2 linked regions of the Rhinolophus ferrumequinum genome follow. The protein of the gene in region 2 purifies or fractionates together with the protein of the main gene of each other region. This does not show direct contact. Links are inferred from orthologs where the notes say so. Each region holds a gene or a part of one and is shown on either strand. Other genes may lie near its edges.

Region 1 (7,791 bases), on a different chromosome or scaffold from region 2:
TAATCCATCTGTTCTGGTCCTACTGGCACTACCCTAACTCAGAAGCTCTCCGTCCTCACTTGGGGTTAATGCTTTCCTAGCTAGTCTCCTCTCAGTTCAAAGCACCTGCCGCACCACCCGGCTCTTTCCGAAACGCCACGGGACTCCTTACGAGAATCCCCCGTCCTCCTTCCTCCGCGCAGGACGCAGGGACGCCCCAGGCAAACTCTCACAGCCTTTCCGATCTCCTCTTCCCCCTCTCCCCCCACCCAGCAGGCCCCTCCACGCAGCACCACCGTCCTCCGGAGCCACTACTTCCAACCCCACCCGTCATTTGGCCAATTTGTATTTTTCTTCCCATCTCACATTCGGAATCTGTCCTCAGGGCACTCGGCACCAGCTAACCTAACCTGCGGCATTCCTCCACTTCCGGCCTCCCTCCACACTGTGAGCTCCTAAAGGAGCGACTGTCTCTATCTCCATATCACCAGCTACTAATTAGCACATCACCTGCCATTCAGTTGGGTCTCTACAGACCATGTTTAAGACCATGTTTTCACAATCTTAATATGCTAACCATCTGACATTTAACACTTTCCTGTACTTTCATTTACGATGTTACTAACACTTCTTTATTACATAAAGTTCCGGTTTCTTACCATATTCCGCGTGTTTTCCGATTATACAAATCCTACATTTTATTGAACCTTTTACTTTTCTATTTCTGGTATTCTTTGTACACCATTATTTTGAGACAGTTTATAGCCCCACATGAAAAGCTACATATTGACTTACCTGTTTTTCACATATGAAACACGCTTAAGAACGTACAATTTTTAAGTCACCGTGGGCAAGGTTTTATTTACTGTGGCATAGTGAAGATATTACGTGCCCCTCCCCACCCCCCCAGTGGCATTTCCTTGCTGGAGACAATCACTGTCCTGACTCCCATGCTTATCCTTTTCCCTTTACCAGGTCCACGGTGCTTTGGGAAGACACTGCCAGGCAAGGGGAGGTCACCGGCCAGGGTCTTCCACAGCCCTGGGGAACACAGGGCAAAGGGCGCCAGGCCCACTGCAACATGAGGCTGCACTTAGACGGTGGCAGGAACCGGCTCTTCAGAGCACCTGCCCTCCCACGTGTACTAGTTCCCCACAATCTGAAATTTGCAATGCTTAGTATCATTGTATTCTTAGATACTTAGGACTCAGAACAATGAATCAATTTTCCCACTCCGACCTTGTTGCCAGTCCCTGAAATAGGTAAATCCAGAACTGTAATAAGATTGTGAGACTTGAGGATGTCGTTCCAATTTCCCGATGGGTTTCTCACTGAACTGTTACAATGTATTTTGAGGTAATGACTCTGATCGATGGCTAAAGGAAAAAGCCCTGGGTCCGTGCAGAGAGTCAAAGAACCAACTGCCCTTTTACACAACATTTTAAAAGGTTTATGTCAAATTTTCTGTTGTTCACACACTTTTAAAAAATGACTTTTGCAAGTACTCCTTATCAAACGCTTAATATGTAGTCTTAATGAGCTGTTTGAAGAACGAAACAGCAATAAGCAACACCACAAAATTTCTAAGAAAACTACCTGGATCTACAAAGTTCAAGTTATGAGGCCATGCAATCCACCAGGCGTTAATTTTACCTTTTTAATGCTTTATTTTAATATTTTTAAGGAAAGAGCTGCACCAAATCTGACCACCGCCTAACTATTCCAGGACCGGGCTACTGCAAGTTTAGCAGGAGCCCCGCGGGCCCGGGTGAACACCGTGGATGAACCGTTTCGCGTCTGCCTAGTGAACGCAAGGGTCGCGGAGCAGGAGAGGTTCCGCCGGCCTCTCCGGGGAACCCCGCACGCCTCCTACCCGCCGGGTCGCGCGTCGCCCGCGAGCTTGACAGGCGCGTCCGCCCAGGGCGGCGCCGCCGGAGAGGGCGGCGGCCGGAAGGAAGAGGGAGGATTCGGACAAAGCGAAGCCCAGCGGGCGCCCCTCCCGGCGCCCCCGCTCCGCCGCGCCGCGTTCCCGGGGGCGGCCACAGCCCCCCGCGCGGCTCCGGAGCCGCAGCTGTTCCCGGAACGGCCACCACGCCCGCAGCGGGGCCGAGCCAGGGATGCTGGGGCGGGGCTGCGGGACCTCAGAGGGATGGGGACGAGGCGGACCCGGGCCTGGAGGGACGGCGGCTGGGGACGGGGATGGAAAGGAATGCACGCGGACGGGGACGGGGCCCGCGGCGGAAAGCGGCCCGAGGGGACACGGCTGAGGCCCGAGGCCCGCCGCACTCACCGTGCTGCTCCCGCGGGCCGCGCGCTCGCGCTGTCAGCACCGGAGGCCACGGGCGCGTGCGCGGACCGGGAGAGCGCGGGGTGCGCTGCCTCGGCCGCCTCAGGCGCGGCGCCGCGGTCACGAGCGAGGGGCGCCGGCGCTGCCGCCCCGCAGCATCCTCGGCCGCCCGCGCGCGCTGTCCCCTCGGCTCCCTCGCGCAGCAGCCGTCCCGCGCCCCGCCGGCTCTGGCCCCGCCGCCGAAAATGGCGTCTCGGCGTCCCTCCCCCAGCTCGCGCCCCGCCCCACAATGCCGCGCGCCGCCGTGACGTCACCCGGCCCGCCGCCGCGGGTGGGCAGAGGGGCGAGGCGCCGGTCGGTGGCGGCCTCCCCTCGAGGGGGAAGGACTGCGGCGGGAGCACGGGCCGGCCCTGCCTCCCCTGCGCGGCCGCTCCCGCTCTCACAGCTCGGGAATAACGTGCGCTGTGTGCCGAGCCCTGTCTTCACGCGTCCTGTGCCCCTTTGAGTCTTTCCAGAACGCCGGGAGGGCTTCCTCCCGCCCTCTAAGGAAGGATCCCGAGGGGCTCGGCAAAGCCCAGGGGCCCCTCTCCCTCCTCCAAGAGCCTGGCCCCCCAGAATCAAAGCTCTGCGGACTTCCCAGGCCCTCCCCTCAGCACGAGGGCATGAACTGCACCTCAGGCGGGTAGGAGGGGAAGGGACGGCCGCCTGACCGCTGGTGCCTGGCCGAGCAGAGATGCCACCCACTGCTGTCCCACCCGACAGCAGCCATCGCCAGTGGCCACGACCTCCCGCCCGGCCTGAAGGGCAGTGCTTCCAGGTCAGAGAGCGCTGCCGGGCCTCATCCTGCTGCCGCCAGCTCTGCAGGCCTGACTCAGCAGCCAGCCAGGGGGACGTGCTGATTCAGTGGGCAGGGCTCAGCTTTCTTTGGCTGCCCCAGCTTGGGAGAACCCCCTCCTCCAGGTGCCTGCCGAGGTCTTCAGTGCAGGGCCCCACGGCATTATTAACCAGAGGGGTTCCTGAGCCAGTCCGCCACCCCCGACTTCCTTTTGAACGACTGTCCTCTTCAGATGTTATCACCCCGCACCCGCAGCAGGTTTAACCCTGCCATTACGCAGTGACCGGGAAGTAAGCACCGGGAGGTCCAGTTACTTTGCTTTCATTTAAAAATGCAAAGGTCTGCGAAAAAGGGAAGCTCTGCGGTGACACAGCGTTACTGGGCCCAGGGAGAGGCAGTGAATCAGAGTCAGCCCCTCCACACTCCCTTAGTGATCCCGCCACACCCCAGTTTGGATGTCACCTGCTCCCCACAACCACCTGGAGGCTGCGCACAGCAGCTGTCACCAAAGTGCTCTGGGGAAGAGCAGAGCGGGCTGCACGAGGCTCCTTTCTGCCTCTGTGACTCTGGGCTCAGCAACTGTCCCCAAGCTATTAAATTGGTGCAAAAGTAATTGCGGTTTTTGCAAATTCTTCTTTAACCTTTTTAACCACAGTTGTACTTTTGCACCCATGGGTGGCCAAGAGTCTACCTCACTAATATTGCTTTAGCCCACGCCGTCTGTCCCCATTGCTGCCACTCTATTTAGGCTTTATCTGGCTCTCTTATCCTCTCAACAAGTATTTATTTGTTGAGCTGCAGTGGTCCCCACGCTAAGAGCCAAGATTCGTTGGTAAACGGGCTAGTGAGATTCCTGCTCCTGCAGTGCCATGCAGAGAATGAAGGTAAGATGAAGTGACAGACGAGGCCAGGTGGACAGGGTGTGAACTGACAGCACTCCAGACACAACTCTCCAGGCAGGGGTGAGTCTGGAGAATTGGGGGAAACAAAGGCCAATTCATCCACTCTCTTCCGCCCCTCCGGGACCTGGAAACGCTGCCGTGTACCCATCCCCAGGTCTCACAGAGTCTAGCAAACGCCCACTCCAGCCGCCCGCCCGTGCTGCCCTGTGTGTCCTCAGTCACTTTCAGTCCTCTGATACTCACAGCAGCTCCAACAGCGGCACCACCATCCCCATTTCACAGATGCTGCCACTGAGGCCCTGCAAGTGCCAGGCTGCTTCCTGAGTCCCAGAGAGGGATCAACTCAGCTTTAGGTATCAAAATGCAGCATGGGTCAGGTGCTGAGGGGGAAGCTGTCGTCCCTCAGGGATCAGAGGACTCATGGAAGAGGGACAATCACACGGCAGGTGGGAGGGACCTGGGTAGGAAGTGCAGGAAGAAAAGCGCAGTGCCCCCACAAGGACGGAACAAACCACAGTCTCATTCGTCTCAAGTGGCAAGTGGAGGGATGCTGTCACTTGTTTAAAGCAGTCACCTTTTTACTGTCAATGTCCGTGGATGCGTTAGGGGCAGCCCTGTGGGAGACAAGGATGCTGGAATTTCCCTTGCATGCCGGGGGTGGGGGGTGGGGGGAGTGGTCTGCAGTCCAGTGGGTGGCCCCAGTCATGAGTTCCTGAAGAAGAGGGGAGGGGGGGAAGGGGAAAAGCAAGGGGGAGGAGGAAGGGAGGAGAGAAGCTAGGTCTGGTGCCTGCAGAACGCTTGCCCCTCCCAAACCCTCTCCCTCCCCCAGCCTGGGCACTGACCGGCCTGCCAAGGCTCACCAATGAGTGGCAGCTGCTCTGGGCCCAGAGAGGAGCCTGGCTTTAGGGCCAGTCTGGGCTCCTCCTGCCTCGCTCTGCACTGCAAGTCATGCCCTGTTTGGTATCTTGCTTCAGTTCTGAAAATGGCATTTATCAGAGGTCCAGGGTGAGCTGCCATCATTAAGCTCCACTGACTGCTCCCTCAGACAAAGGGGAAACAGCACCCCTCTGAGGTGGAAGAGGGGGGATGAGGAAGTGGGAGAGCTCCAGGGAGAAGCCCAGCCCTCCCTGTCTCTCTCACACATTTCTAGCTGCAGGGAATTGAGGCCTGGGTCCTGCTTGGTGAAGCTGGGCTCCAGCAGGACTGGCCAGAGTCCCCTGCATTCCTGCCTAGCCCCGCCCACAGGCCCACTGGGCCAGCCTGATCCCCAGACACAGCTGGGGCAGGCTGTCCAGTTCCAGGCTTCAACTGTAAGAGGGCCTGGAAGCTTTCCCTTTTGTGCTTCTGGGACCCCTGAGCTGCCATGTAAGAAGGCCAGCTCCTTGATGGAGAGCCCCGCCTTCCAGTGTCCCCTGGGGGCACCAGGCCTGAAGGAAGCCATCTTGAAGGGTCCAGCCCAGGTCACAGAGCCATCTGTGGACCCAGGATGTCTCCAGATGAGGACTGAGCTCAAGGGCAGGCAGGGAGGGACTGCAGTCTCTGCTGTAAAAAGAGCCATCTGGCTGTGTGTGTGTTTTGTACATTTAACACGGCGTGTTGAGCTCCAAATGTGGCCCTGGACCAGAGCCAGCTGCTAGGGATGGTACTACTCCCAGTGCCCAGGAGAATATTTCTTACTTCACGTCCTTGCAAGGAACCATGACATGTGTTAGAAAAAGTGCAGAGACTGGACCTGTTCCTGCGGTTATCTAAGCAGGGTGTGCCAGGAGCGGGGTGGGGGGGGGGGTGACAGCATCTGTGACTGAAACCATGTCAGTGTGGCTTGATAAACACTATGATGGAGATAAACAATGGGACCTGGGGGCCAGGTCTCAGGGACATGTCAGGGAAATCTGGTCTTCTGCATTGGAGATTTCCTCCCCCTCAATATTTTATTATGAAAACATTCAAACATACAGAAAAAAGTTGTGCAGTGAACACCCATGTACCCCCCTGAGACTCTGCAATGAATATTTTGCCCTATTTGCTTTATCACTTGTCTCTCCATTTCTCCAACCCTTTTTCTATCCACGAATCCATCTTTTTCTTTTCTCTACTTTTCTTTTCTTTTGGATGCATTTCAGAGTAAGTTGCAAACATCAGTCAGGTATCCCCAACCCTCCCCAGGGTACAATGAACTTACTTGCATCCAGTGCAGCAGGCGGGAGGTGAGAGAGGGTGAGAGTCAGCAAGGGGGCAGGGAATGAGGAGCCAGGGCAAGGAGAGTGTGAAACCAGGAGTGGGGAAGGGGACTTAAAGTGGCTGCATCAGATGCCATTTGAATGGACAGCTGGATGCATGGATGGATGGGAAGCTCCCAAGTAACCCCTCGTGGTGGGGTGGGGGGGGAGGTGTGTGTGCGGGCAGGTTGGTGGTAGGTGGCCAGGGGCATTTGTGCAGGAGTGGGGAGGGCATGCATGCATGCAGGGTCCTCACCATCAGCAATCGCCTGGCAGTGCAGGAGCCCCACTCTGGACCCTGCTCCAGCACATTGGGGACTCCAGGCTGCAGAGGGAGATTAGATGGGGGCGGGGGGTCACAACTCAGGTGGGCTGCTCAGACCCCATCATAGGGCTATGTTCCTGCCCCCATTACCCCCCATATACTGAAGCTCTGCACACACGTCACCCTTTCACCCCTAAACACTTTTAGCATGCGTATCACTAACGGAGTTGAGTATTTGTTTCTAGGGAAAACGTACGCAATGTGAAATGCACAGTTAGGCTACCATGGATGAGTCCTGACAAACACTTCCCCTTGTGTAACTACACCCCTGCAGCACGCTGGGCCCTGTGGCCACAGCACGTTGGCCACCCCTGATTCTCACCTGAGCCAGCCAATCCCAGAAGGGGGTGGACTTGTTCAAGGACAAGCTATGGGGCACCTGAGAACAGCAGATGGAGAGCTTCTTCCGGTTTTTACACAAAAATAGCCACGCAGGTGCCAGGTCTGTCCCACAGCAGCACAGGTTTCTCCTGGCCCCCGGCTGCAAGCCCCTCTATGGACAGGAGCCTGTCTGACGCCTGACCTCACGTCCCCAGGAGCTCCCTCCACAGAGCGTGACCTCCTCCGGCCTCCTACCACTTTCTCCAAGGTTGTTGGCTCCATCCAGTCAGGCCAGACTCCTGTCACAACTGCTCTGAGCCTTTGGGGGCACAGACCCCCCTTAATTCCTGTGGTATCTTCTGCCCCTCCTTGTTCCCACAGACCCCAAACCTGACTCAGGTTCTTGAATATGGTGGTTCTCAGTCAACGGAGGCTAAACTGAATGAATGAGTGAATGAATGAGGGAGGAAACCGTGGACACCCAGCTGCTGGATTTCACAGGTCCAGAAGGAATTCTGGTCTTCATCCGCCTACCCCTCCTAATTCTGCCTGCAGTGCCCGAACACTCCTGGATCCTGCCATGGTGGGGGCTCCATGTCCTGGGGCCTTCTTACCTTTGCCTCTGGCTGGCATGCTCAGACCTCAGCCTGGCTCCCTGTGTACCATGTTTCTCCAAAAATAAGACCTAACTGGAAAATAAGCCCTAGCATGATTTTTCAGGATGACATCCCCTGAACATAAGCCCTAATGCGTCTTTTGGAGCAAAAATTAAGACCCGATCTTATTTTTGGGGAAACACCGGTAGGAGCAGAAATGCCTGCTTGGTTCCACATATCACATCTTTGTACCTCATTGTCTAGAAGAAAGAGCCTCTCACCTCCCACCGTCAGTAAACTCCCCGGCTTCACTGGGCTTCTATCTCT
Region 2 (6,923 bases):
TGATTATACTTATAAATCAATAAAAGCCAAAAACAAAAACTTACTCTTTAAATTTCGATTTAACTACAAGACTGTGTACAAACATTTAAAATAATTCAGTTTCAAATTCTGTATTGTAATTCCTTCTTAAACTCTTTATTTTGAATCAGGATCAAGATCCAGTAAAACAAATAAACCATGAAGATTTTACCTAGTGACGTTCTAATTTCACTTCTCCCAGCAGCCCTTACAAATTCCCAAACAACCTTTGAAAAGTAAAATAATTCATTTAAAAACTGAACAAAAATGAGACCTCAGAGTAATTAATGACTTACTATATGCAAAAGATTAGTTCCTGAAAATAATGAACTGAACATGTTGCCTTACATGTCTTAAGGCTTTGTCACTCATTTGTAATGTATTTTTGCTTATACATTTTTAAAAAAAGACTAAAACGCTTGCCAGTTTACATAAAGGCCAACTTAACTGTTCATCGCTGATTCACAGCTCAGTCATCTATCATTTCTAATATTATCATTTAAATTTATTTACATTACTAAGGAAACATAAGAAACTTATAACTTTATCCAAAGGAAACAACCTAGCACAAATGTGCTTCCTGTGGCAATTGTTTTCTTTTCACTCTTTCCTTGTATTTTATGTCATATTTGGGCGGTATCAGAAGGTTGTCTTCTAACCTAATCTTAACACATTTTGTGAATCCTAAATTCCAGCATTATAAAAATGCATCTTGGTAATTCTTTAAGATTTGAGTAAACACAAAAAAAATTTTTTGGAGAATTAAGACATTCTTAATACAAGTCTAAGGAAAACAGCTTTCATGTGTCAACCACTGTTGAGACTGAGGAATCACAAAAACTCTGAGAAACTAGTAGCCTCGCGTTTGCCAACTTACAACCCAGGCCTTACAAGCCTCCTCTGATTCCACGTAAAATACTCCTGTATTATCTGAAAGGAAAAGGAATCACTACTTCTGTGCTTAACTTCTTGGCCTCCCTATGATGTCATTTACAGCAGGATTATTTTCTTGTGGACTTGTTAACAAAGAACCAGCTTGACAGTCTTCACACAGCAGTAGCTAGCAGTTGTTAGTAACCTAATGGCTTGTTTGTCAAGAGCCTAACAAGCAACATGGAGCAACATTCATTTTCTAGACCTGAACTTTGGAAACTTTCACATAAAAACTCTAAAGAACTTTAGTCCTGTCTGATATGGCAATGCTTTTAATTATCACTGTCCCATCTCCTGTGACCCCTGTCCTATTTCCAAATTAAACTGTCCAAATAATATGCTAAATATGGAATGCCACTAAAAAAACTTAATATTAAAATTTCATGTCATGATAGCAATGTAGAAAAAAGTTCTGCCGCACAGCATTACCAACAAAGACTTAATTTTAGTTACAGTTCACTGTTCTGTATGCAGTATCTTAATACCCATTTTAATCTTCTTGAACGCAAAAAAAAAAAAAAAAAAAAAAAAACCACAACAACTTTACATTCTGGTCTCCCTGACAATGATTCAGCCAACTCTGATTATCTTATGTTTTATACTTCAAAAGGACAACATCTCACTATTCTCAGGATTACTAAAATCAACTTTTTCAAGGTAGACGTTAGTTGTAGAAGCAGAAATCTAATACTAACAAGAAATCTAGTTTTACTGGTTAAATTTTATCTGTTTTTAAAAGCTTGCTTTTATAATACTGTCTGATATACACACAAAAAATTAACTTTTTTTACCCAGACTGTTACCCGATAAAACCTAGTTAAGAGTGTGTTACTGCGATTTCAAAAAAAAACCTCACTATTTCTTTTTACTCGTATAGTCCTCTATTAATCTTTTTCAGTTGTTAACAAAAAGCAGATGGGTAAACATTTGAGGTACAGGTATATCTGTAGTTGGGTAGCTTTCTCTCCTGCCTCGGGGTTAAACAATATGGTTCAACTCGTAGCTATATGTTGCTACAAATCTAAGTATTTTTACTATTTAAGATACAATAGGGCTGATCTCATAGCTCAACGTTCCTAGCTGAACTTTAATCTTACATATTTTATGAATGGTAAATTGGGGGTAGTCCAAAACCCCAACAGCCATCAGCAACAGTAACTGCGCGCACACGCACACACACACACACACACACACAAACACAGGCAAATATACACTAAACTTGCTCCCCAGTTTCTCCAGCGCCCCAGGCGGGGGAGTGTCCCAGACTTAGACCAGGCGCCTCCGGTCTCCCGGCACCGAGGATCTGGGTGGGGGCGATCCAGGAACAAACGCGGAGCCGCGCAGTCTCCCTGCCCTGGGTTGTCCGAACCGGGAAACTCCACTCGGAAGGATTGGGGACACCACTGCTCCCTCTACATTCTGCACACCGCCACTTCCCTGAACTCCAGCCCAGCCAGGGCTGAAGGGGCGGTACTGGGGGAGGGAGTGGAGGTCACTTACCGCGATCATGACCGTGTCTTCTCCCTGAAACTTGGCGATGTATTTATCGCCGCGGTTCACTTCGGACTCGTTGAGAGGTCTGAAGCGACACATCACTTTGATGTTGCACTCGGCCGGGTCCGCCATCTTTCTCGTTGCCGGGGCCGGAGGCCGGGAGCCACTCCCCGCCGCTCAGTCTGGGAGGAAGCGGACCGGAACTGAGGGTATAGGGTCGCGAAGGCCGAGACAATCAGCAGTCCGCTGCGTCGCGCTTCTCCCGGCGGCGGCAGCCGGGAAACCGGGACTCGAAGAGCGGGAGCCGGCAGCCGTCGCCCTGAGGCTCACTTCCGATCCATCATGGCAGCCATGGCGGCGGCGGCACCGGGTGGAGCGTCCGCGGCTCCTCGGATTCTGACTCTCCGGCCTAGGCAGGCTGCCGGGTCTGGAGGGATTCTGAAGACCCGGAGTGCGGCCTCCTTCTCCCTTAGACAAAGCAGGCTGGGCCCACCGTCTCCCAGCCCAGCTATCTGCTAGCCGGCTACCCGGCTGCCACCCGGTCACTCCTAAGGCCGCAGACCCGCGACCGGGCGGTGGGATGGGCGGTGGGATGGGCGGTGCGTGAGGAGCACAGCGCAGGCGCGGAGGCCCGGCCGCCCCAGCGACCAATCCGTGCCCGCGCCCGCGCCGGGCTGTGCCGCCTCCCCGCCGCCGCTCTCCGCCGCTCGGTAGCAGAATCAAGTTACAGAGGCGGCTCCAATGCAAAAAGTACCTTTGGTCATCTGGCCACTGTTCCCACTACTGTCCCGCCGCAGAATTCCCCAAGGCAGATGCACTTAGCTTTCTTTTCTGTAGGGGACAATGGATTTGTTAAAACTATGTTGTCGTTTGTTTAAATAAAATACTATATTCCAATAGGGAAGTGTTTGCTTTCTGTTTGGTCTGGAGATAACTGATTCCCAGCCCGCCTTTTTAGAGCGCTTTGACAGAAAAAGGAAGATTTGAATGAGGGTGTTGGGACATGGCTCTCTGCTTCAAGCAGTTGCTCCTTCTTGAGAGAGTGGGTTGGGGAGACAGGAATATGAAAGAAAAAGGAAATTTCTTCTAAGGAATGAAGAAGGTTGCTGAAGAAATGTAGAAAAATAGGGTGAGGTAGGAGAAGGCCCTCAATCTGTATTACAATCAATCTGTAATACACGTATGAAAATCATCAGTCTCAACACCAGAGGAATGATTGACCTAGGATGTAAAGATGCTTTCAAAGAGCCTGGATAAATTTGTGGATTACATATCGAAGGAAAACCACTCCACAGTTGATTTTGCCTCCTATTTTTAGAAGATGGATACTATAATGGCTCTTCACATGGAAGTCGCTCTTAAGTGCTGTGGAAGGAGAACTGCAAGATAATTAGGAATCCTTCCTCTGGTTACCAGTTTGTAAAAGGAAGGATTGGACTATGGAAACCTCCAATGCCCTCTTTCCTTGCCCAACCATCCTAAAACCTCCAGAAATGAATCTTTCAGGATTCAGATTTATTGATTCACTGCAGTGAAGGAGAGCTCACACCAGAGGAACTGTGGGGCATCTCCCCAAAGAAAAAGATACATGTAATGGCTTTGGGTGAAGTGTGGAGTTTAGGTAAAATTTCAATGAAGCTGTGATTTGATAGTGTTAAACAAAAAAACCACAAGTATAACTGCAGAACAGCTCAAACTGGCCTTATCCTGTTCCTAACAAGATGCTGAGTCGTTTCTCACCGACAATACAACAAAACTGCAAGTCATGCCGCCAAGCATACGCAGAGGAGAGAATTTTGACCAGTAACACCTGAAACCAAAGTTTCACCCGACCCCTCACAGAACCAAAGGACCAGACATGACTGGAACCGGAACACCGGAACCCTTTCAGAAGTAAAGAGCCCATTATCCAAGAAGATCCAGTGCTGACGCCCCTTACCATATCTTAGCATAAATGGCCAAGTTCCAAAGTTCTCCAGTTCAAACTTGCCCCACCAGAGCTTCTCTGTACACCAGTCTGTTTCTCTCAACCCCTTAAATATTGCTGTGAACCCTGGGTCAAGGAGACAGATTTGAGTTCTGCCTCCTGTCTTCTTGCATGTCGACCTTACAATAAAGCTTTTTTTTTTTTTCTTTTCTCAACATCTAGTGCCATAGTATTGACTTCTTTGCGTGTTGGGCAGTGAGCCCTTGCTCCATAACATAGAGTTAAAATGGTGTCACTAGTGCTAAAAGCCCAGGACACCAAACCTAGATTTAACACCTGATCGAATTGAAGTTTCAACCACTCCCAGAAACATAATCTTAATCTACCAGTATGGAATTTTCTGGTCAAATACCAGTAAGATAATCTGTCACATAGACCCTCTCCATTCCCCATAGAAAGAAGAGACAATGTACACAATAAAAACCTTTCCCCTTTTCTTTCCCCAAGGAAAAGATGTCTTGGCCCAAAACTAATCCTTTCTTTTCTTTCACTAATAGCTCCCTTGCCCCACCCTTCTTTCTATAAAAACCTTCCATTTTGTACAACTCATCTGAGCGCCCTCCCTTTCAGTTGCTAAATGCGATGCTGCCCGATTCGTGAATTGCTTAATAAAGCCAATTAGATCTTCAAATTTACTTCGGTGAATTTTGGTTTTTAACAATAGACTCCAAACAAAGCAGAGCTGGGACATCAGGTCTGGACTACAAGTGGCCTGAAGGTCCTGTTTCCTTGGGAACTACAAAGTTAAGGTAGATAGGAAATGTTGTCTTCAGAAACCCATCCTGAAGCTCTGCACCCAGCTTGAAAATCAATCAAGGTTGCTTTTGTATGATTTAGATCAGGGGTGTCAAAACTGTGGCCCGCGGGCGAACTGCGGTCTGCAATCCATTGTTAATTGGCCCGCAGCAAATTCCAAAAATATATTTAGTTTACTTAAATAAACCAGGTGAGGCAATACGTACTTCACCTCGAGTGAGTGGCCCGGCTGTTTGTGTATTTTACTGCATACGGCCCTTGGTGAAAAACAACGAAAAAAGTTTCTACACCCCTGATTTAGAGGCTCCAGGCAAGTGTGGGATGTTTTATTCTTACTGATATAATTTCAAAGTTTTTTGATAGTCCATGATTTTAGAAAACAAAGCTTTCAGTGAGTAAGGAAGCAGTAGTCACACAAAGAAGGAGACTGTGGCATGTAGCCACCAATTTTCAACCTCTGCAGCAGGATCTCAGGAAGGCTCTGCCCTCAGCCCTCTGCTCTTTTCTCTCCGAACTCACTTCAACAATTGCTGGAATCTCTTATCTACAACTCTGACCTTTTCACTTGTGTGACGCTCCCATCTCTCCAGCTGCTTATAGGCCACCTCGTTTACGATGCTCTACCTGTGGATGGGGAAAAAGGGGTTCTATGGAAAGTAACCTCACAAGGGGATCTGATCATAAAATCCTAACTGGGCAGCTCATGGTGGGTAGTCATGCCCCAGGCCTATAACCTTTCTTATTTATTTATTTTTTTTGATTGGGGAATATTGGGGAACAGTGTGGTTTTTTCCAGGACCCATCAGATCCAAGTCAAGTTGTCGTTTTCAATCTAGTTGTGGAGGGCACAGCTCACTGGCCCATGTGGGAATCAAACAGGCCACCTGGGTGTTAAGAGCACTGCACTCTAACCAACTGAGCCAACCAGCTGCCCCAGGCCCATAACTTATGTAGTGAAAGTTTTTAAGCCAGCCCTGTCTATTCTTGTACATCTAAGTTAACATACCTTTGAAATACCAGAAGTAATATCCCTCAAAGGGGATATTAACACCCAAATGTACATAATCTTGTTAAATATCCTATAATCCAATTCTTGCCTTGCTTTCTCCAGTCTTCCTTACATCCTGTCCTTAATTCCAAACACATAAAAGAAGCTGCAAAACTGTTATTCTCTGGAACATTTGAGATCTTGTTCCCCGGGCATATGTCATCAGCTTGGCTCAAATAAATTACAAAACTTCTCCACAGGTTTGGATTTCTTACATCGATAACCTTAACCTCAAATTTAGCATTTTAGAGATGAAATTAATTATCCCCTATTCCCTACCAATGCTTAATTCCTCTACTCAACTTTCTCGTTTTGATGATCAGAATCAGCCTTCTTTCATACTCCCGGACTAAAAAAGTTACAATCACCTGTAACTCCACTATTTCCTGCATCCCCTATACATGCAAAAGAGAAACATGGTTGTCTGCATTTGAATTTCTCAGCTTCCACCCCACCATTCTCGTTTGTTCCCCAACTCATAAGATCTGAGGAATGATGGATTTTCAAATTCTACTCCATGGAGCAGAGGTTTGAAAGAGGTGACTCAGGAGATGTCATGGGTGTGGGGAGAGAAAGGAGGTGGATGTGAGTGAAGCTCTGGGAACCCCTGCTGCTCAAGGCACTTTGGTAGGCTTTCAACTCTTGTTTCTTCTTTTCTCCTGCTTAACAGATTCTGGAAGTTAAGAC

Evidence for each region. Proteins that work in one complex are often made in the same cells at the same time.
Region 1: the proteins of KIF5B (region 2) and KLC1 purify together in Homo sapiens (co-immunoprecipitation; 11 studies listed by BioGRID and IntAct, counting the BioPlex papers as one, with this or other methods). This does not show direct contact. The link is inferred for Rhinolophus ferrumequinum from reciprocal best matches to the Homo sapiens genes KIF5B and KLC1.

Annotation. Positions count from the first base shown.
Region 1 is NC_046289.1:1,653,372-1,661,162, forward strand, and holds the start of KLC1 (kinesin light chain 1), read right to left. Parts: upstream 3,026-7,791; 5' UTR 2,940-3,025; intron 2,467-2,939; exon of another isoform or gene 2,270-2,466; intron 1-2,269. UniProt on the Homo sapiens protein: Kinesin is a microtubule-associated force-producing protein that may play a role in organelle transport. The light chain may function in coupling of cargo to the heavy chain or in the modulation of its ATPase activity.
Region 2 is NC_046288.1:3,502,604-3,509,526, forward strand, and holds the start of KIF5B (kinesin-1 heavy chain), read right to left. Parts: upstream 3,050-6,923; 5' UTR 2,578-3,049; coding exon 2,452-2,577; intron 1-2,451. UniProt on the Homo sapiens protein: Microtubule-dependent motor required for normal distribution of mitochondria and lysosomes. Can induce formation of neurite-like membrane protrusions in non-neuronal cells in a ZFYVE27-dependent manner.